Linked DNA regions of Styela clava. The main gene of each other region encodes a partner of the protein of the gene in region 2 in a complex. Links are inferred from orthologs where the notes say so. Each region holds a gene or a part of one and is shown on either strand. Other genes may lie near its edges.

Region 1 (10,108 bases), on a different chromosome or scaffold from region 2:
CTGTTGTCAGTGGCAATATAAAATATCCAGTCATTATCATTTTTTAACTAAATAATTTTCAGGAGAATAAGTTTGATAAAACTATTTTAAAATAGATTCATCTTCTGTTGAAAATGATGTGAATCATAAGAAGAAGAAATCAAAATATGGTAAATTGACTAAGTTTTTTTTCAAGTATTTGCCTAACGAACATATAGTGTTAGGCATTTTTAACGTTGGTATACAATAAAATACTTCATTATTTTAGGTCATATTTCTGGAAATGATGTTCTTGACAAACCGAAAAAAGATGGTCAGCACCAAGTATGTATCACATTAGCTTTTCTTGACCTTCTATCTTACAGATATATCTTTGCAAATATCAGAGAAAATTGTGTATCAATATTCATTAAGAAAGCTGCTGTGACAAATCAAAATAATGAAAATGACGACCAATTCTATGTTATTGGCTTGCACTTGGAAACTGCAATACCACTTATAATTATCTTATCCCCATATTATACCACCTTCTCCCTGATAAAAGATGAGAACCTTTAGTTTTCAGACCTAATAATATCAAATGTAAAAATATTGTCATGTCTCTGCAGATTGTCACAGGTGAAGAACATCTAGATACTGATAAGCTTGGACAATGGAAGACGGCCAAACTAGCATCATCTGCTCAGCAGGATAAATTTGCCAGATTACTTGGTTGTGCTAAATCCAAAGATTCAGCAGAAACCTCATTAACTCAAACAAATTGTCAAAGCTTGCTCAGTAAATTAACTGGAGTTTGGAAACCACCACAAGGAAGGAAACTTTGGGGTACATTACAAAACAATAACAAAACATTTTCGACAATGGCCCCAGATGAAAATGAATCTAAAAAACTTGCTAATAACCTTGAGACCCAATATAACCAGACACTTTCATTTAATTTACAAAAAAGAAAAGAGGGCAATGCAGCAAAAGGCTTGGGATTTGAAGAAGATCCAGCAAAAGGGAAAATAAACTACATTGACATTCATAAAATGAAGTCTATAGCATTGGACTAAACTAAGTTAATAATATAAAGGGTGTGTTTGTTCATGAAAAATGTATTTATGAGTGTAGATAAAGCGCCAATACACTGTCCTTTAGGGCAATGGCATCTATACAATATTGTGATAGCATAGTAAGTAAGGTCCATCAAAGCAGTGGCAAAAGGGATGAAATGTAATAGAATCGCGTGTTATGGATCGAAGCAGTGAAAGTGTATCGAATAGTATTCACTCTGATGTGGGCACCTAATACTATACATCTTTTTGCAAACACCCGAGGCTTGTAAGGTCCATCAAAGCAGTGGCAAAAGGGATGAAATGTAATAGAATCGCGTGTTATGGATCGAAGCAGTGAAAGTGTATCGAATAGTATTCACTCTGATGTGGGCACCTAATACTATACATCTTTTTGCAAACACCCGAGGCTTTTATACTATTGGGAAATCATCACGTAAAGACCCAACTATTAGACCAGGGTTTTTGTCTTGACTGGGTGCATTCCAATCAGGTGTTTTTACACACCCTGACAGGAATGTCATGAAACATGTTCGAGCAAGTTAAAAAAAATTTAACTATAAAGAATGGGTTAGGGTTGCACAAGCCTGTGTAAGTCAAGCAGTCGTCCAAAGGTGGTCGAGTTCCGATAGCTTATCAAGGAATAGCAAACTCTTGGATTGCTTTAATTACTTTTATTCAAAACAGAAACACATGTTCCAATTTGTCTACAAGAATCCGACATACAGAAATCAAAAATATAAAGATGAACTTTCGATTTTAACAAATAATATGACAATCACCAAAGCGAGATATCTGTATTTACCAGACTTCGTTTTTCATGAATTGAACAAAAGGTAAAAAGTGCATTGCGTAGATATTGAATTATTTAGCGTGCACCTGGCCTTGTTCTACAACTTCCATAAATTGCTTAATCATAGATAGTAGCAGCAGTTCCACGCAGAAAGTAAATTTCTTTGGCTAATTAAAGTTGACCTTGAAGCAAACTGGTGTAGTACCACTTCTCAGCTTTTTCATCAGTAACCTCTTCTGCTTCGTCAAGTGCCGGTGCAGCTTCTAGGATTTTAGTTGCGGCTTTACCATCAATTTTGAATTTGCTGTCACTGCAGCAAATGTTTTCCATTGCAAAATCACATTTCAAGGTTCCGGAATGACTTTCAACCCAGAACCTATGAGTTTCAGCAATTGTTTCTTCAGCGAATTCACGGTCTTTATAATCTCCATTAAATGCAAAACAGTTCGCTGGTTTTCCATCTGGTATCTTGTAAATTTTAAACCATTCACGAGTGGCATCCAAGTATCCAGGTTTCATCTTCTCAACATCTCCAATTGAATTTATTTTTGGAGCGTCTTCATCGTTAACGTTGATTCCTATCACTTTCCAGTCAGTTTCTCCTTCATCAATCATGGCAAGAACACCAACAACCTTTACTTGAATAACTTCACCACGCTTGCAGATTTTTGATCCAATTTCACAAACATCAATTGGGTCATTGTCACCACACTGACCTGTATTCTTGTCTTTGTGTCCTGGGTTTTCCCAAGTCTGTGGAATTGCTCCATAATTCCAAATATATCCTCTGTGTGGAAAGCAATTAGCAACATATCGGAGTTTCCCCTTTTTCACATCTTGTTTAATTGGATTTAGACTCTCTTTTGTTGCAATTTCCATCTTGCTGTTCGTCCATCTTGGAACCTCACAGACCATATTGTACACTCGTGGGCTTTCCGAAACCAGCCATGGAATGTCATGCAAAGGGGAGATGTATTGCCCCTCGCTGTTTTTATAGTATATTCTATAATCAAGCGTGTTTGGACGCCCTCTTTCTTCAGCGACATAAGACATGATTCTTGATATATTGGGTGAATTATTCGAAATTACTCGGCAAAATCCTCTATGCACGAAAGACAACATAGACCGGTGTACAGTCGTATATTATTATAAAAAGCCTGCTACGCAGATTTACCGTAACTTATGCCTTGACAAACAAAAAGTGATCACCCCGCCCTCCACTAAACAATCAAAGACAATTCCGCGATTTAGAGACGCGGCCGCAACGAAAACGTGGCCGGCGCCGCAAACGGTGTGAATGACTCAATCAAACTTGATGTACCAGTTACTCGAGCAAAGTCCGTGCAGAGCTCAAACTAAACATCTATTGTACATCAGTGTCGTCTGTCGCTCTACGCCAGTGCTCCGCAACCTTTTTTACCTTGCGGCACACTTATAAAACTTACCAAATTCGACGGCACACCACAACAAACAAAAAAAAAAGTGTAACTTTGTATGTTCATATTTCAATGAGAAATTTGTGGTTGTATATAGAGCACAATCGCTCTATATTAGGATCAATACGTGAAAGAGCAACTCGAAGTTCGCCGTCAACATCATTTATGTAGGATCGTTCATCGTTTTTGATCAGTAATAAAAAGGAAAAGCTTTGTTCGCACATATAAGTTATGCAAAAATGGAGCAATACTTCAATAGCTGCATTGGAAATGTGCGCTTATAGTCTTCTTTTTATTGAAATCCAAAACACATCGAGTGGAATTTCACTGAATTTGAGTCTTAACGTTCTGTCATTTCTTACTTCAAAGAAATTTTCTCGAATACGCAGGGGTAATTCTTTTGTTGACATTTCAGCACTAGTTGATAAAGGATTTCGGATCCAGTCGTATCGCTCATTGGTAATTGCGAAAAAGTACCAGTACTTGTCATATCTTTGCTCCATTAGATTTGAGTGCTTTTTCGCCAAATTTCACACGAAACCGTGATTTGTATTTAAGTGGCGCATCAGTTTACTCGGAGCCATTGCCTAATTTGAAAGTTGCTCCCCACAAATAACGCAGACTGAATTTGGAGCATCTCCGTTACCACAGCAAGAAAATCCATAGTTTATGTAATCTTCCCTGTATTTCCTTTTGATAAGTTTTTTTTATAACGTTGCTTGTGCTAGGTACAATATGTTGCTCAGTATCAGATGTTTTGGATGTTCTTTTTAAAAATTTATCCATTTTGCTAAACTTTAACGTTCCTTGACTTTTTTAATCAAAGACCACTATGGGCAATGATTCTGCAAACTCACATTTCAGGTTTATTTATATTCGATTACTACACGCGCTATGTTTTACCCTCGACAATGATTGCAATCTACTTGACATATAGGGGTACTCCTCGTTACGTCACAAATGTATAGTGGGGAAGTCAGGAATTTGATTTGGTGTCGCTCAAGCTAACGTAAAAGCAAGTTCATTTTAGTAGAGAAGTAGACTGACGTAAAATTAACAAAAGATAAAAATAAATTGAAAAAGAAGAGAAAAGTTGCAATTCCTGTGCGGCACACCTGGCATCGTCTCGCGGCACACCGGTTGCGGAACACTACTCTACGGTACAAAAGCATGATGGTGTTTATTCAAAACTTCTCTCTGAAATAGGCCCGAACAAGCAACTTTTGAGATATGAAAAGTATTTATTCGAAATTATATGCTATAAACTGATTTCTGTACAAGCATATACTGAATATTATCCGTGTGTTCCTTCAACACAGTGGTCGGCAACCTTTTTCAAGTGACGGACCGGTAAAGCATGACCAAACATTTGGCGGACCACCTTTATACAAACGAACTAAGCCTATGCAATACATTATACGCATTAGTGAATTTAGGTTGACAATGTACTAAAAACGACGCGATGCTATTTAATGAGATATCTTTATTTGTTTGATGGCCATTAATTGTTCACATATTCGAGATATGGTCGACATGGACGCACGTAACGTGTTTCTTACATCCAGCCTATTTCGTTTTTGTAGTTATCAATATTGAAAACGGTTATGCAATGTAACGTTTATTGCAATGTAAAATTGTAATCTGCAGATATTACAAGACGCTTGCCAATACTTATGGGTCGGCTAACTACTCCTGACATAAGTTCTACAGTTTGTCAAATTAACCTTGAGTTTGCAAAAACGAATACATCTAATGGAAATATTATACAAGAGGATTTCTGGATGGTTATTTGACATCCACTATATAAAAGTACATGCGTCCTGAAAAAGTAACTGGTTAAAAGTCTTATGGTCAGTGGCGTGTCGGGAGGGGGCAAAGGGGAAACCGACCCGAGCAGCACGTTATAGGAGTGAGTTTGTTGCTCAGTTTGATGATTTAAATCAGGGGTGGGGAATCTTTTTTACAGGCGGGCCAAATATCAATAACTGGGTAAACCCGCGGGCCGCACCTTCATTTAACATATGCTTTCTATTAGTTGCAGGCACAAAATAGTGTCTTTTTTGTTATTGATCTCATGTCGTCATCATTAGGGTCCATACAGAAATGATAGGTTGAAACGCATAAATTTCTTAAAACTGTAATTCAAATATATTGTCACACCCAATGTTGACGAATTCAGTGAGAAATTTGCTGCTGGATTCTTTTCCGGACTAGTTTTATCCAAATTTGCTTTAATGGAAGTGCGGGCAATTCGATATGACGCCCATTTTAGAATAAAATATGTAGCCGAAAAGTGCCATATTTGAAGCCATGACTTTTTTCAAATTTGCAAAGTTATCTTGGTTGAGATGTTTTCGGTAAAATACGCCAAGATTCATTTCCAAATAATTTGCTGTTAAATCTTATTCTAGTTTTAGATTTGAACAAAATCAACTGATAAACTGGAAACAAAACTCATTTTGCTTTTGTATCTCTTAATATTAAATTTTTTCAAACTGCTTTCCATTTGCCTAATCTTCAATTGCCCGTTCATACAAATTCATTAGGGTCTTCTCCGCATTTTCCTTTAAATTGTTCGCTGCATCGCGTTGTCTGCTTCGCTGTTTGGACGTTGTAACGTCATAGGCATAGATAATAAATTGGACTCGAATATAGGCTTTGCAACGCAAAGGACACCATATCAAACTAATATAAAAACTAGTTTAGCTGGCCGCACACCATTCAAAATTGGCATTACTCCGCGGGCCGCACAATTTTCCCTCGCGGGCCGCACTTTGCACACCCCTGATTTAAATGATACTATTACAAGCATTTTTCTCTCACTTGGCATTTAAATGATACTATTACAAGCATTTTTCTCTCACTTGGCCTTTAACTTATATATTTATTCTCGTGTATAACAACATCTATAATAATTATTTTTGAAGTTAGGTATAACTAGGCTTACCATACGTCCCGCTTTAGGCGCGACAGTCCCGCTTTTTAGCGTCTTGTCCCGCCGTCCCGACAAGTCAACCAAAAGTCCCGCTTTTGCGTTCTGCCATCCAGCATAATACACGAACATGTTCTCGTTACTGTTGTTGCCGTGTAGCGCAACGCTAGTCTACTTACTGAAGGTGAATGCGTTATTTTATTTGTTCCGTTATGTTAGCGAACGTATCACATGTAAAATCAATTCCAATTGGTCCTGTTCGAACGTTCACGTGAATATAACATTGAGCAACGTCTTCTTGAGAAAGTGTTATCTACAGAAAAGCATGCTTAGTGAATAAGTAAATTCCCAATGCTTGAAAACGGCAGACTATTTCATTATGCTTTATTCCTTTTGCTGTACATAGAAAAATCTAAATTCGGATCATTTGTATCGTTAGCGTCTAATCCTTTCTATTTTTCGAACTGAATCCGATATAGAATATGCGCATGAATTCTCGATGACAATATGGTCAATGAAGACAGCCGGGATGGCCTTAAAATGTAGGCCTATGTAGTAAAATCGGAAACTGTAAAGTTACAGGATCACAGCTAAGAGGTCGTGTCTTTGGAGGCGTCCCGCTTTGAAGTCCAAAAAATATGGTAACCCGAGGTATAACTTTTAAGGGGCAGCATTATCAGAATCTCGCCCCGAGTAGCGCGAAAGTTTGACACACCACTGCTTATGTTCGACATGGACTGGTAACCAGATGGGGAAACGTAGGCCTTTATCAGATAAAGTCTTCTCATTACCCTTTCTTTCGACCTGATATGAAAATCCGTTCTAAGCTGTCGACTAAAAACATGGTGGAATGTTTTCTGAGATATGAGAGGTGGATTTGTCATGGTTGTGAAACTTGTTGCCACATCAGAAAAGTGTTCATTAAACTTCTATCAATTTGTGCTACTACATTGCAGTTCAACTGACAGACATAAACTAGTCTAAATTCTGCAAATTGTATTTTACCCTGCCCTAATTTGATTTTTTGAAAAGCAAGTGCAGACGTGTATTAATTTTCTTCTTACTGAGTAGTCCAGCGTACAGTTTCAATAGTCTGTATGTGATGAACAAATTTTTCATTTTCGCCTTTTTTATCAATGACAGTTTATATTATGTTCGTATACGTTATTGGGTTTGCGTAACTCGATAACATTCTAAGGCCTACCTAACCATTTTATACATAGAATAAGCATCAGAATTTTTTTTTTAGATCATGTGCTGGAATCCGGGATTGGCTGAAGTTGTCAATGTCAATAGAGTATTATACTTGAAGCTTTCAAGTTTCAGATGCCTATTAGGTAGTGGATAGCTTCATTTCTTATTTGGAAAGTCAAGAGTGCCAACCTCCGACTGTAGCGCATGTTTTTGCTTAGGTTCCAAAATGATCTAAATACCTCAATCTCGCAGGATTTCGACCTGGGCATGACCTAACGGGATATTCATCTACTTGTTAAGGGATACTCAACCTAAACTTGAAAGTCGATATTATATTGTGGATCATACCGATTAGAATGACAGGCAACTAACTGTACAGTTTGCAGATTCGACTTGAAAATGAGAACACGGTATATTGAATTTCACTTAGATCAAATGAATACTTTACTGTATATATATATTCTGATTAAAACAAATTCAATAAAATAAAAATAAAATCATGATGCCATTCTAAGTTGTTTTATTCGCTATAGTATGTTGTGCTAATTGCTCTTCATCTTCAAACAAGTGGTTAGTTGCGTCGTCTAAAATGTGAAATGAAGCATAAATCTAATGTAGGGGAAAGTGGGGAAGGTTGGGACACTTTTTTTCGTTTGCATATTTGGAGCCCTTTATTCTGCACATTCATATACCTTTGCGGGATTGATGCAGAGAGGGGTAAATGTAGTTTTTATTCAGCGACTAAGAAATTCCCTTGCGACACACATCTTACCACCAAAATGCTTTGAAAAACGTTTGTCAAGTGTCCCACTGTACCCGACTTGTGGGGCACATTCGGACAGACCCTGGGGCACAATGGGTCATTCTGTCAAAATTCAACAAAGTATGCCCTAAAAATAAGCAATTAATCAGCATAATCGTCTAAAGAACAGGAAGACCTCAAATTTGAAGATTTAAGATTTTTAAAATCAATGTTCAACCAGAATATTTCAGAAATTTCACCAAAAAATTCGCATACAACTTAAATTATTTTCTAATCCGAATCTAAATCTGGAAATATTTTTGATTCTCGAATATATTTCATATTGGACCATGAGTCGAAAGATACCATAATGTTACATAGAAATATAACGCATCTCTAGGTCTCTAAGCACTTGTTGTATCAAACACTGTCGAATTGTGCCATGTAGGGTATGTCCCACTGAACCCCGGTCCATTGTTCCCCATAATAAACAAATATCTTCAGATCATCCCACGGAGAAATTCGGAAGGCACATCCACTCGCCAACGTTATAAATATTTCACAGTGGACTATAGCTGAAAGATATCAGACGGTGGTTTGTCACGTTGAAAAGGCTAAGTTAGAAAAAAGAAAAAACTGGAACGGTTAAATTTCAGTTTCGACCTCCCAAAACCAATTTTACCTCATAGCTTGCGTCGCTCTACCCGTCCGCTGTCCGTTTGCGGGGACGTTGTAACTCATCGAAGGGCGGATTGAAACATCAAACCGCGGACCGTATTCCGAATATAGTATTAGTGTGTGAGAGCTGATTTTCCATTGTGCCTCATGTCCCAACGTGCCCCACCTTCCCTTATGACATTGATTCCCCACACTCTTGCAGTAAATGTGCCCAATATATCGAATTTTCAATATTTACAATTGATAGCTAATGATTTGAAATAAAAAGCAAAAAACACAATTTATATTTATTAGTGTGTAATAGTCATGGGTGTAAAATCCATGTTAGTAATTGTTCTCTTGGCTGTACTTGTATTTAATGAAACAGATGCTTGGTTCAGGCGGATGAAAAAATGGGGGATGAAGTTGACAGGTAGAAGGCAACATAATCCAGTAAAAGAGAGACATGGAAATGAAGAAGGCCACTACCAACCACAGCAACAGAGGTAATTTATGAAAGAATAATTGAATAAGGTGTGCTAGTTTAACATTGCGTGTAATATAAAACATGTCCAGATGAAAATTGCATCACGAAACTTTGATCTATATGTCTGTCGAACCCCACAAAATATTGCATAGCCCACCGAACTGCTATCGTCGATACAGCGCATGTCTGTTTTCAGTGTGCGACCTTAAAACGCTCAGTGATTCCAAACATATTATATCAGATTTATATTTTACATTAAATTGAAATTAGCGCTTATTCGCGTTCAACTTTTTTGTACCTATTTGATATATATTATTTAGAAAGTTTTTCATTTATGCTATAGTTACTACAGTGGCCGACCAAGAAGAAGAAGTAGCTGGGTAACGGTAAAAAAAAATACGATGGGACAACAGTAAAATTGCTGAACAGGTCAGTCAGTGATACATGTGTAAACTAGCCTGAATTCAAATTTATTATTGAAATTATCATTTAGATCATAACTTTTAATATATTTTTATGGAAACATGCAACAATCACAATTATTCCATTATCGCGGAATAAAGAAACTGAACGTGAAATGTTCTATACAGGAAAACGAAGAGGAAAATGAGTCCACAAATAACTACAACGAAAACAAAAGTCAGCAAATTCTTTCTGATTTGCAGAAGTTTATTGTAGGTGAGTGACCGATTTCAAACAAACCCAATGGAAAAATTTGAGAAGTTTTGACTCATTACATTATCTAAATTGGGTTGCAAGTCTCGGTGGGCGCAAATATTTTTAGAAAGGTAAAAACCGAACGGATGAGTCACAATTTTTAACTCAGATAAGAA
Region 2 (11,514 bases):
CATCTAAGACAGTTACACGGAAATCTCCAGAAATTGTTTTGAAAGATCACTTGGATGCCGCTACGATTGAAACATCCGCCTTGGCACTGATAGAAAATGCAAATAAGTGTATTGATAAGTGCAAGAATCAAACAGAAAACTTAGAATACTACAATCGAGTCTATGCCCAAATGCTTTCATTTGTGCTTCTTCGAATCGGAATTTCTGAATTTGACGAAGTAATACTTATGCTGTTGGACGCACCGAATGACATACTTGAAGATGTGGTATTGAAAGAGAGCCTACTGATTTATTTCAGAACGTTTTTTGATGAGGCGCTGAAAAAGTTGAGCAAACAATATGACGAAGTTTGTGTTCGCAGATTGTCCATAGTGATGGAATTGATGTCACAAAATCTTGATGCCAGTGTTTTTTCCGCTGTGTCTGCAGTTCAAAAATCTGTGATTGAAATATCTGAGAAAGTGAAAAACGACAAGGACGGCCACTTTGTCGATCTTATCGATAATTTTTCTGAAATTGGCACATTAAAAAATGAGGAATACGCTCCGATATTATGGAAGATAATAAACCGCGAATTATCTTCGAAAAAAAGGTCAAAAGCAATCTACTACTTGATCAATATTTTGGAAACTTAAAATACAGAACTAATCGAAACCGCAGTTTCGATCGATAAGCCTTCAGTCTCCGACCGATATTCTCGTTATTATCTTGGTAACTCTGCTACGGTTCCCAATTTGCTGATTTGTATAGGGTTATCCGGTAAAGTATCGGAAACCAATCATTTTGTTTTTTATTCAATATTCCTGCAATTCAACAAGATCTGCATAATCACGATATATAATGTAAATTAAGAGAATATATCGAATGTTTGTAATCCCACTAATGACTAATAGAAGCTTCTAATTACCTTGCATAACAATGCTCCCGCTGTCTTTAATACTGTGTGTACATATGTTATTTTGGCAAATATATTGTGGTAGGTTCATTAATGACAACCTTTAATAAAATATGTATTCAATAGTATTTATATTTCTTGAACGGGTCTTTTCTTCAATAGTATTTATATTTTTTGAGTCCAATTACTTGTGCACTGAACCCCATTCGAAATTTTACGCATTTCAATTTTTTACTTTCGCTGTTTGTCAAAATTAGAAAGAGTAGATAACTAAGTTGTGGATGAATGACCCAGCAAATAATGCTGGAGGATAAATATAAAAAGTTGTTCTGGCTGCAAACCACGCCAGACGTCCACATAGCATGTGCAATAAATCCGGGAAATTCACTCAACACATCTAGCAATTATTGATCAAAAATAGGCATCATTATTGCCCAGTGCTAGCGAAACAAAATGAAGATCAGCGTTCAAAATATAACAAACGGAAAGTAACTTGCCAGACAGCAACACACAAAATATGGCAGAGTCAGGCCGAGATAGGAACCCGTCACAATCACCAAGACCATTCGACGGGACAATTGGAACAATGTACAAGTACCATAGCGCTTCGCCTCCACAAAGTCAAGAAGAGAGTGGGCAGGGCTGTCGAGCCACCGCTGGTGGTAGTCAGATATTCTTGATGACGTCGATCCGAGTGATCGTACAATTTATCTTCGATCAGGGCTAGTAAAAGGCAGAGAATCGATAGTGCGATAATGGCTCCGAATAACGGTTCAGCATTTTTAAACGTTAACGAAAACAATGGCCAACTTGCATAGTTATAAATAACGACTGCTTGTGGATCTGTAGCTTTTACATTTGTTTATAAAATATTGTATTCCGTCGTATTATAACAAATATCTAAATTTACAGGAAATTTGGATTTGGTTTATTTAACCATATCGACGTAATATATATATCTTTATTTGAATATACCAAAAATAATCAAGTTCATAAGTCCAAATTGACAATGGATTTTAATTTGCCCAAAAAGGGTTATTTATAACTGGGAAGTCGTTATTCCGAAGAATGGATTCGCACAGTCGTCGTTCCAATTTATTGCATTTTATCGCCATGATCGTCAGTAAAACAACATTTAAAGTATTTCGCGGCGGTGGAGAGTTAAAAATTCATAAAACTGCAGACCTTCATATATTGCACAACAATGTTATTCATTGGCGTTGAGTTTCTCCGTGTCTAATAGAGCTACAAGTGTGAAGTCATCGTCAAAATAAACAGCAGGGCTTATAATTTTTTCCTTGTCAAAAATAATTTCACGCGTTTTTTTTTCACATTATATTGCTCTACATCGAGACTGAATTTTGGTTGGTGGAGAAAAGGCTGGCATGAGTAGCCTAACAATCCTGCAGATATAATCCAGACCACTGAGATTCAAAACTATTTAACTTAACAGTAAATGCTTTATGTGTTTAGAAACATGTATTTGAGAACAAAATACAGTTGTTATTTGGCAAAAATCTAACATTACAGACACAATCACTGGATAAGCATGTTATTGTCTACACAGAAATTGGCTGAAATAAGCAGGCATCAAATGTTAAATGCGGAAACATTGTTTTGCATGGGTTGTTTCATTACTTTAGTTTGATAAGCAGCATTGGGCTATCACGAGTGATGAGTATTGCTCTGAATACATACAGCAAGCAAGCAAATCATTCTGTTGAAAATTGGCTTCCTTGCCTATTGGAGTGCCATTGTTGATTTGGTTGAAGAAGCATGGAAGGCTATTATCACTATATTTGCCTTTGATGCATTACGAGTTCTGGAGCCATCTGCAAAGTACACATTCGGCTGAATCAACCCGCTGTCTGCTCTAAATCGGAGCATCCAGGTTCTTGTTCTTCATCGTTGTATATGTTTTCAGCCATCTGCCACACCTGCATGATGTTATCCTCTGACACAGAACATATTACCCATGGTTCTTTTGAGTTCCAGGAAAAATCGGAGATCTTGGCTGTGTGGCCACCATGAATGAACTGACAAAACATACGGTAATTTCTAATTAATTTTTTGAAAAAATTCAGCAAATAACAACATGAAATTAAAAATAAAAATGCATTCCAAGCATTTTCTGTGACATTACTGCTATACTTCAGTGACCAATTACTTATGTGATTGAAAGTAGATACAAAACTATATTATATTTCTCTGAGCAGTAACAGACGGCTGACAATCGCCTGGCATAAATAATTAGTAAAAATGAGCAATTTGCATGACACACAGAAATCAATTGGCAAAAGTCATAGCTTATACTTTAAATGAAATTTTTACCTGAAATATTTGTATATGGATGGAAATGATAATAATAAACAGGCAAATTAATTTGGGCATATTATTTTGGCCTCATTAAACTGTAGGTAAACAAAGCCCACCTTTTATTTACATACAGGGTGATCCAAAAAATAACAGAGCTCATAAATTTCTTAATTACTATGAAAATGAAGAAAACTTATTTAACACTTCAACTTCTGTTTGTGTATAATTGTACCCAAAAGTTTCAGTGATCTGGGATGCTTTGGGCAAAAGTATGTTCCAAAAGATCTGGGTTCTGTTTTTTGGAACACTGTCACACTGGAAACATCTCATAATTTTGTTCTACCTATCATATATACTTTTAGTATATTTAACAATATTTGGATATTTTTAAATAAGAAATATTGAGCAAATATATTACTACAGCTCAAAATATTGTACAATGCATTCCAAAATTCAATTCCACTTTGCACAGGAGCAGATACTACATATCTAGCTATGGCACTTTTATTGTATAATTTATTCTTGGTTAAACTGATGTGATCAACTACTGAACAAAAAAAATTAACAGAGTGATAAAAAAGTACATACCAGTAGTTCTGGAGGACCATCCTCCGCGTCTTCTGCGGACTGTTCTTCGCCAATCTTACTTAGATCCCAGACATTGAGTCTGCGATCAGTTCCACTTGATGCCAGGATAGTTTCATTATGTGGTGACCATTGAACTTGGAATATTTCATCCTTGTGTGATTCAAATGAATGAAGCTTGAGCTTAAGATTTCTCAAATCCCACAATGCAACAGTTTTATCAGCTGAACCAGTGGCAAGAATAAATTCACTGAAGGGGTTGAATGATAAACAATTCACTTCGGCAGTGTGAGCCTCAACGATATGACTTGGTTTATTGGTACTTTGTGCCCTTGTATCCCAAATAAGTAATTTCTGATCATCTGCTACCGATCCGAATAGACTTTCATGAAGGAGGTGCCAAGACACATCTTCTACTACAGCAGTGTGACCAGTAAATACTGATTTAGCATCGAGCTCACGATTTTCTTTTAATTTGTGACCCACGTCCCACAGACATATAGTGTGATCATCTGAAGCACTCAACAAGTGACCAGTTACATTTGGATTCCAAGATAAGCCATAGCCCTCTTTCTGATGACCTTTTAAACGAATATCAGGTTTGCAAACTCCACATGGATCTGGTTTAGGTGGATGTTTGGTGATATCGAAGACTAGGACATCGCTACTTGGTGTCTTTGTGCCGATGATACACGGCCTCTGAGGCATGTAACGAGCTCTATTGACCTCTCCTTCGTGGTTAATTTTTGTTTCTATCTCAATTTTCCCACTAACTGAACCAAAACCACCAAATTCCCCTCTTTCACTATCATAATGAGATGCATCAAATGTAGCATCATCTGTGGGAAGCTGAACGCTCGCAATGATCATGTGATTTTGTTCATCTGAGGTATGTGTCCCCAAAATGAGCTTATGAACAGCATAGTCTTTCCCATCTGCTTTTGCTACATCAGGAAGCCATTGAACTGTGAGACTTGGCCATTCTAATGCATGTGTCATTACCAGATCATACAAAAATGGTGTGTTCTTTTTCCATATCTTATATTCTTCATTGATAACTCTTTCTTCCACTGCCTCATCAAATGTTTCTTTTTCAGCCATAACAGCCTTCGATTTTGAGTTAAAATGTCTAATTTGATCAATGCTCTATAGTAAACCAGAAACTATTGTAATGTATAACCTTTTGTGCATACATAATAGGATTTTTATTCTGGCGTGAGTAAATTCAAGAGCTAGAATTTTGTCCTTATCAATAATTTGAAAAAATAAGCAATTCTACTAATTTTATTCCGAATAAGTGAATATTATCTCCTTACAAGATCAATTCAATTCATCAAAGAATACAGCTTTGGGAGGGTGGAGGGCAACTTGTCACAGCGCTAACTCGCCATTGGCAACTCGCCTGCTCCATATTTGATTATGATAAGACAGTGCAAGAAGAACTATAATATGCGGTATAGAGATGTAAAGGACCACACTATGATTATTTAACACTAATATTGCATCAGCATTTGAAACTTTGAAAATTACTGATATTTCAGCGAGTCGAGTAAAACATCAAAATTATATAGACTATTCAAAATGACTTTGAGTGAATAACAACAACTGACAAAGCTGAAAGTATCTCAAATTATGTTTTTAAAGTAGTTAAATTGTAACGAAGCTCACGATATCCAAGGAATTCAAAGAATGGCAGTGTCACATCATTATCATTTGAGAATGTTTGATAAGAGATTTGTAGCATCATCCAATTTCAGGTATCCAAATAGATCATATTAAGCAATAACAAAACGAGAATATCGGTCAGAGACCAAAGACTTATCGATTGAAAGTTAGGGGATCCCCAAAACAGCGCTCTTGCTCCATAGTGACACCTTGTGTCCAATCACTAATTAATTAATAATTCGCTAATTATACGACATAATTCGCCCAAAATCAATAGGCTTCTGGTCCGAAATATGATGAATGCACATGCAAAATCTGCAGCAGATCCAATCTCACTTTCGTGAGATATCGCGTGAATCTAACAGACAGACAAATATCTATCAACATACTTACCGATTAAAATCGATAAGTAATAAATTAGGAATTTAGTCTTGCTATTAGCAACAAATACTAAAATAAAGTATGCGTACATTCGTTATATATAGTCTAGATACCTAAAACACTTACGTAAACTGCGAAAATATGTAACTTGTAAATAAAATATTCCACCCCTTTTATCTGTGCTTCTATAAGAAAAATTCAAAATTGGGGTTATATATATTATATTGATTATAGAATATTCAACTTTCAACACCAAACTGACAGTGCTATTTCAGTACTGCAATATGTAAGTAGTCTATAGACTAGATGATACAGTAATATGACATGATAAAGGATATGTGGATCAACGGATGTACTTAATGCAAAGAAACCCGAAATCTGATAAATCACTACCGGTATCTGAAAAAATCCCCCTACAGCCCTAACAGTGGCAGCGCAGCTTTGGTTTAGAGATGTTACTTGATTTTATCTATTTACCGTTAGTCTATATCAGGGTGGGCAAACTGCGGCTCAAAGAAGATTTTTGTGTGGCATGCAAAAGCCTTGAACAAATAGCCTACTTGAAAACAAATAAAAGTCATGAAAAAAATTACTACAATTCTGTAAAATTCGATTCATAACAAGCATAGCCTATCCGCATAAGTAATACCTCTGGCTCTGGGAATGTCAAAAAAATATACCGGTAACTTAGATGGTTAATTTATCAGTTTGTAGGGTTTGATGACAATATCAGCGGTGCACTGCAGTTCTCAGATGTCTCAACATCTGGTTAAATACAACGAACATTCTATTCGTCTCTGATTAAGCCTAAGCCGTCTTACTGACTTTCCTCTTCCCCGGCAGCCCGGGATAAATACGTACCGTACATCCTAAATCCTATCAGGACAGATGCTTAAGGCAAGGCAAAAATGAAATAAAAACAGCGCGAAGCAGGAATGGAGGATGTTTCCTCAACCCTTGACCCCAGAGAAATTATCTTAGTACTTTATTTTGGAGGTGGTTTGTAAAAAGGTGACAACTCGGCCCTAATTTGCGGTGGTTCAGAATCACCGCACCTTTATAGCACGCGAAGCGTAGGTTGAAAAACAACTGGGACATGAATAATGAAAAGCAGCACCCCTAGTCCCCACCCATTAAGATTGCTCTATCCCAACTTCTATCTTTTTGGCATATATTCGTGAATTAAGGTCCTGTTCGCCAAAGTTAATATAAAACATTCAGCCCTATCAGACAAAAATAAAGAAATCTTGATCTGTCAAAAATGCGTGTTTGTTTGTGAAAGAAATAATATATGCTGGTACGTCGAAGGGCCTACTGTTTCACTTTTCAATTGATTACCCTGAATAAATTTGCCCAAGACGGGCTTATGTAATTAAATATTATGATTTTTGAGCGTTCTTGTAGTGGGACACAAAGTTGTTAGCTGCAGTTAGGAATTTTGCCATGTTTGCAGTACAAGTTTAGTATGATAATTTATAATACATAGAAATGAAACATATGAGTAATAAAAATGTTGAGGAGTAATAAAATGGTGATGAGGTTCCTCTGTAATTATCTATCTACAGTATATCCATACCTACGTCTATATCTATACCTACAAAAAAAAATAGATTTACTGAAACTCATGGAGCCATACATGACCGTGTTGTCTGTATGGTAAACACTCAGTTCAGTGATTCAGAAATTGAAAGGGAGAAGGAAGTTGAAGACATAGTCCAGAAATCAGGGCATGATTCGTGTGTGTTATATTCGTCAGAACAAGTATCGCTGGCTTCAGACAGAAATACAGATGATGAATATATTAGATGCTCAGAATGATGCCACCAATAACTAGCACATATATAGCGTCAGAGTCTAGGGAAGTATTTTCCACACAGTCAGCATCTAAGACAAATATGACCTTGAGTTCAGAAGCAGATAGATAGATGTAGAACATCAAGAAACAAGTCGTCATCAAACATCTATGACTGACATTCAAATGCGATGGAGAGCAAGATCTACACTACAAGTTGCGTGTAACTTCAAAAGGCCACCTTTACCTCCTCAGCCAGAAAAGACATCGACGTGTTTACAATATTTTCAGCAGTTTTTTGATAATAATAATTTAATTGATCACATTGCAGAACTGACCAATTTGTATTCGGTACAGAAAGTAGAATTTTCCGATGCTACAAACCACAACGAATTCGAACAATATTTGGGAGTAGTTGGACATCCATGATGGGCATTCTGGAATTACCGCGTTATCGAATGTATTGGGCACAAGAGACTAGAAAACAACCAATGGAAAATGTAAGTCCAAGAAAATGTAATTCTATTCCTCAAGAAGAAAAGCATGCACTAGATCAGGGGTTCCCAAACCTTTTCAGCTTGCGGCACACTAACAACAACATTAAAAAGTCGCGGCACACTTATTACAAATCAGTTTTATTAAATCCCGTATTCGTAAATATTATGTGTATCGGCATTAAATATGATTAAAACAAGATTTTGTGGGTCAATTGTAACGAGTCTTTATCGTTTTTAGTCTTTTATTTCTGTCAGCGCATGAAATTAATATTTGCAAAATCATGAAAATGCGAATGGGAAAAATATTTTGTTGTACTATATGTCTATATATATATATATTGCAAGGGTGGCCAACACGCCGATCGCGATAGACCGGTCGATCGCGTTTGATGTTGAGTAAATTTGCCAAAATTCCAAGCGAGCAAAGAATCGGACTTGAAGAATATTGTAAATTAGATAGAGAAGTTTGAGCAGTCATGGAACATTTATGGTTTGAGATTGTTCATTATTCGCTGTTTAGATAGTACATGGACACTTTCATTCAAGGTTTTTGGAGAAATTGAAAACACTTACAACTGAAAATTAGACAGGCCCTAGATCTGAAGTGTATGATTTCAATAAATCTGAAATAAATGATAAAAATTCTACTCCGGGTACAATTACATAATCAAAAAATTAACAAATTGAATGGAATATGAAAAATGCCTACTTTTGTGGCAATTTCATTGAGAATGCGCCCGCGGAGCCGAGCTTATTGGCAGTAGTGGAATTTTTGTATGCGTGTGTGCGGTTATCTGCGTATTCGTATTCATTACTTGTCGATTTTAATCGGTAAGTATGTTGATAGGTATTTGTCTGTCTGTATGTCTGTTAGATGCACGCGATATCTCACGGAAGCGAGATTGAATCTGGTCCAGATTTTGCATGTGCATTCATTTTATCTCGGACCAGAAGCCCATTGATTTTGGACAAATTATGCCGTATAATTAGCAAGTCATTAATTAATTAGTAATGGGACACAAGGTGTCACTATGGAGTAAGAGCGCTGTTTTGGGATCCCCTAACTTTCGATCGATAAGTCTTCGGTCTCTGACCGATATTCTCGTTCATTTTTGTTTATGACATTACAACCGATCAGTCGATCGCGAGCTATTTTGAAAATTTCAGTCAATCGCGGTCGGAAGCAGGTTGTGTCGGCAGTCCGTGTGGTCCTAAAGTTTAGTTTAGTTAGGATCCCTTCAGTTGTACATCGTCATCGTGATGATTATCGCTAACTCGTCGTCGTCATCATTACTGTGTTGTTTTCTCGTATTCGACGTGTCGCATTTTTCTCTTTCACGTGTTATCGTTTTACGTATTTATTTTATTATCGTCCCCTAAGCTCAGCAAGATGTTTAAGATTGCATTTCTGGTGGTAGCAGTTTAGGATTTCATTTCTTGTTATGGCAGTTTAAGATTACATCGCCTTTATAGCGTTGAAGTTTGAATTCATTCAGTAGTCTCCTTTTATACTGTATTTCGAATCGTTCGATATAACATTATGATATTTGCATGTCTACAGCTCGTATTGTATTGCATTTATAGTTACTGTTTTACCTTGGTTGTATATCTGTCGTTTTGGGACTATGCTATTATATGGAGTTGTTTTGTGTAAGTATTAGTTTTATATTCTGTATCATTTGTCTTTGATTTATTTGGTGCTAATTATTTCATTTGTATTTTAGTCAACCGTTTTGAATACTTTCAATAAAACGAGTCTGGCAAATCGACTTATCATTTCCGGGTCCCAAAAGTGACAAAGTTGAACAAATCTCCCTGCGACGACGATGAACGAAGCAGATGAATCAATTACACAAGATTTGAATAGACGAGAAGCTTCTTCTTCGCCTGCAGTTCCTCTCGCGGAAACAGACGACGGTAACTCTGAAACTATTGGACGCAATGTATTATGCCACGAAAGACTACAAAATGAACTAAATGGTTTGTGCGACAGATTTTCAAAATCGATTACTGAAAATGCTCAAAATCCTATCGTTACTGATCTTAAAATTAAACTTCATGTTAAACGAATTGCTTATGACCAAGTGATGGATAAACTCATTCCGACTACCCGTAATCCAAATGTTTTGAAGAAATATGAAACTGGAATGCAAATGATGTTATCGAAAATCGATCAAATTGAAAGCAGAAATTTTATTCTTACCTTGACGAGGAGATCGTTTCTGATCATTGGTCTGCCGAATCCAATACAAGCAAATGCAGTGTTGAATCACTGAAGCGATTGCAACTTGAGCAAGAACGAGAGGTAGAAAGAGCCGATTCTCTTGTACGTATGGCTAAACGAGACTTTCTCACAGAAGAAGATACCATTCGCAATAAAATATCAGCACTAGAGCGTCGCCTTGATCACAAACGTCGAGACATAAACGAAAAAGAACGAATGGCAGATCTAACACGTCGCCAAGCTGACGAACTTATGCGTGAAATTGAACAAGAAAAGACTGAATTGGCTACCAAAAAGATGCCTAAAGATAACTTACGTGGCGTCAATATTGAATATCCGTTAGAGTCAACACGCAGACGAAGTGCAGCGAACTTTTTTGTTCCGACGAAGAGTCAAGTGACAACAAATTCAGAAAAGACCAAAGAATTGCACTTCCCGACAGCACGAACTTACAAACGCCCGTCTCCTGCAAACAGAATGCTTATACCACAAGAAGCAGTCGACGCGTGGATTGACCACTTGGAACCTAACCAGTCTGGTAAATTTTCTGTTAATTCTTTTAATATGTCAGTAGAGGAACAAACTATGTTATCATTACAGTTGAATTCTAGAATATTGTCCCAGTACCATTTATCACCGATTACGATTCCTAGTTTTAGCGGAACGACCCTAGAATGGCCAAACTTTATTGAGTTATTTTTTGATAATGTACACAGTTCTCTTGACGACGACGGTTCGCGTATGGTTCGCTTAGTCGCGTCTTTGACGGGGGTGGCTAAACGACATGTCGATGGCTTAGGGACGGTGGGAAGTAATTTATTGTCGCGTTGAGTGAATTGAAACATATATTCGGCCAACGGGTGACGATTGCTCGGGTCTTTATCGAGAAGGTTGTAGATGGTAGACGAGTAACAGAATTCAGTATCCGGAAAATATCTGATTTTCATTCTGAAGTTCGCGACATTGTGATAAATTTGAAGAAAATGCGATTGCTTGCAGATTTGTATAGTATTGAAAATGTTAGAAAGACAGCAATGCGAATTCCGACCGAACTGACCTCGAGTTGGAATAAGTTTGTGACTGATATGATTCGTGCCGACGAAATGCCGAGTTTACTGGACTTCGAGCAGTGGTTGTGGGAACGATGCGAGGAATTAGG

The links.
Region 1: histone-binding protein RBBP4 (region 2) and inorganic pyrophosphatase-like share a complex: the UniProt entries of both Drosophila melanogaster proteins name them as parts of the NURF complex. The link is inferred for Styela clava from reciprocal best matches to the Drosophila melanogaster genes Caf1-55 and Nurf-38.

The regions. Positions count from the first base shown.
Region 1 is NC_135256.1:11,801,738-11,811,845, reverse strand, and holds inorganic pyrophosphatase-like, read right to left. Parts: upstream 3,144-10,108; 5' UTR 2,950-3,143; coding exon 1,999-2,949; 3' UTR 1,694-1,998; downstream 1-1,693. Other genes in the region: uncharacterized protein LOC120327500, read left to right, coding at 96-149, 248-303, 588-1,034. UniProt on the Drosophila melanogaster protein: Component of NURF (nucleosome remodeling factor), a complex which catalyzes ATP-dependent nucleosome sliding and facilitates transcription of chromatin.
Region 2 is NC_135252.1:3,757,077-3,768,590, forward strand, and holds histone-binding protein RBBP4, read right to left. Parts: upstream 5,013-11,514; 5' UTR 4,898-5,012; coding exon 3,800-4,897; intron 2,932-3,799; coding exon 2,752-2,931; 3' UTR 2,356-2,751; downstream 1-2,355. Other genes in the region: uncharacterized protein LOC144420818, read left to right, coding at 10,464-10,893. UniProt on the Drosophila melanogaster protein: Core histone-binding subunit that may target chromatin assembly factors, chromatin remodeling factors and histone deacetylases to their histone substrates in a manner that is regulated by nucleosomal DNA.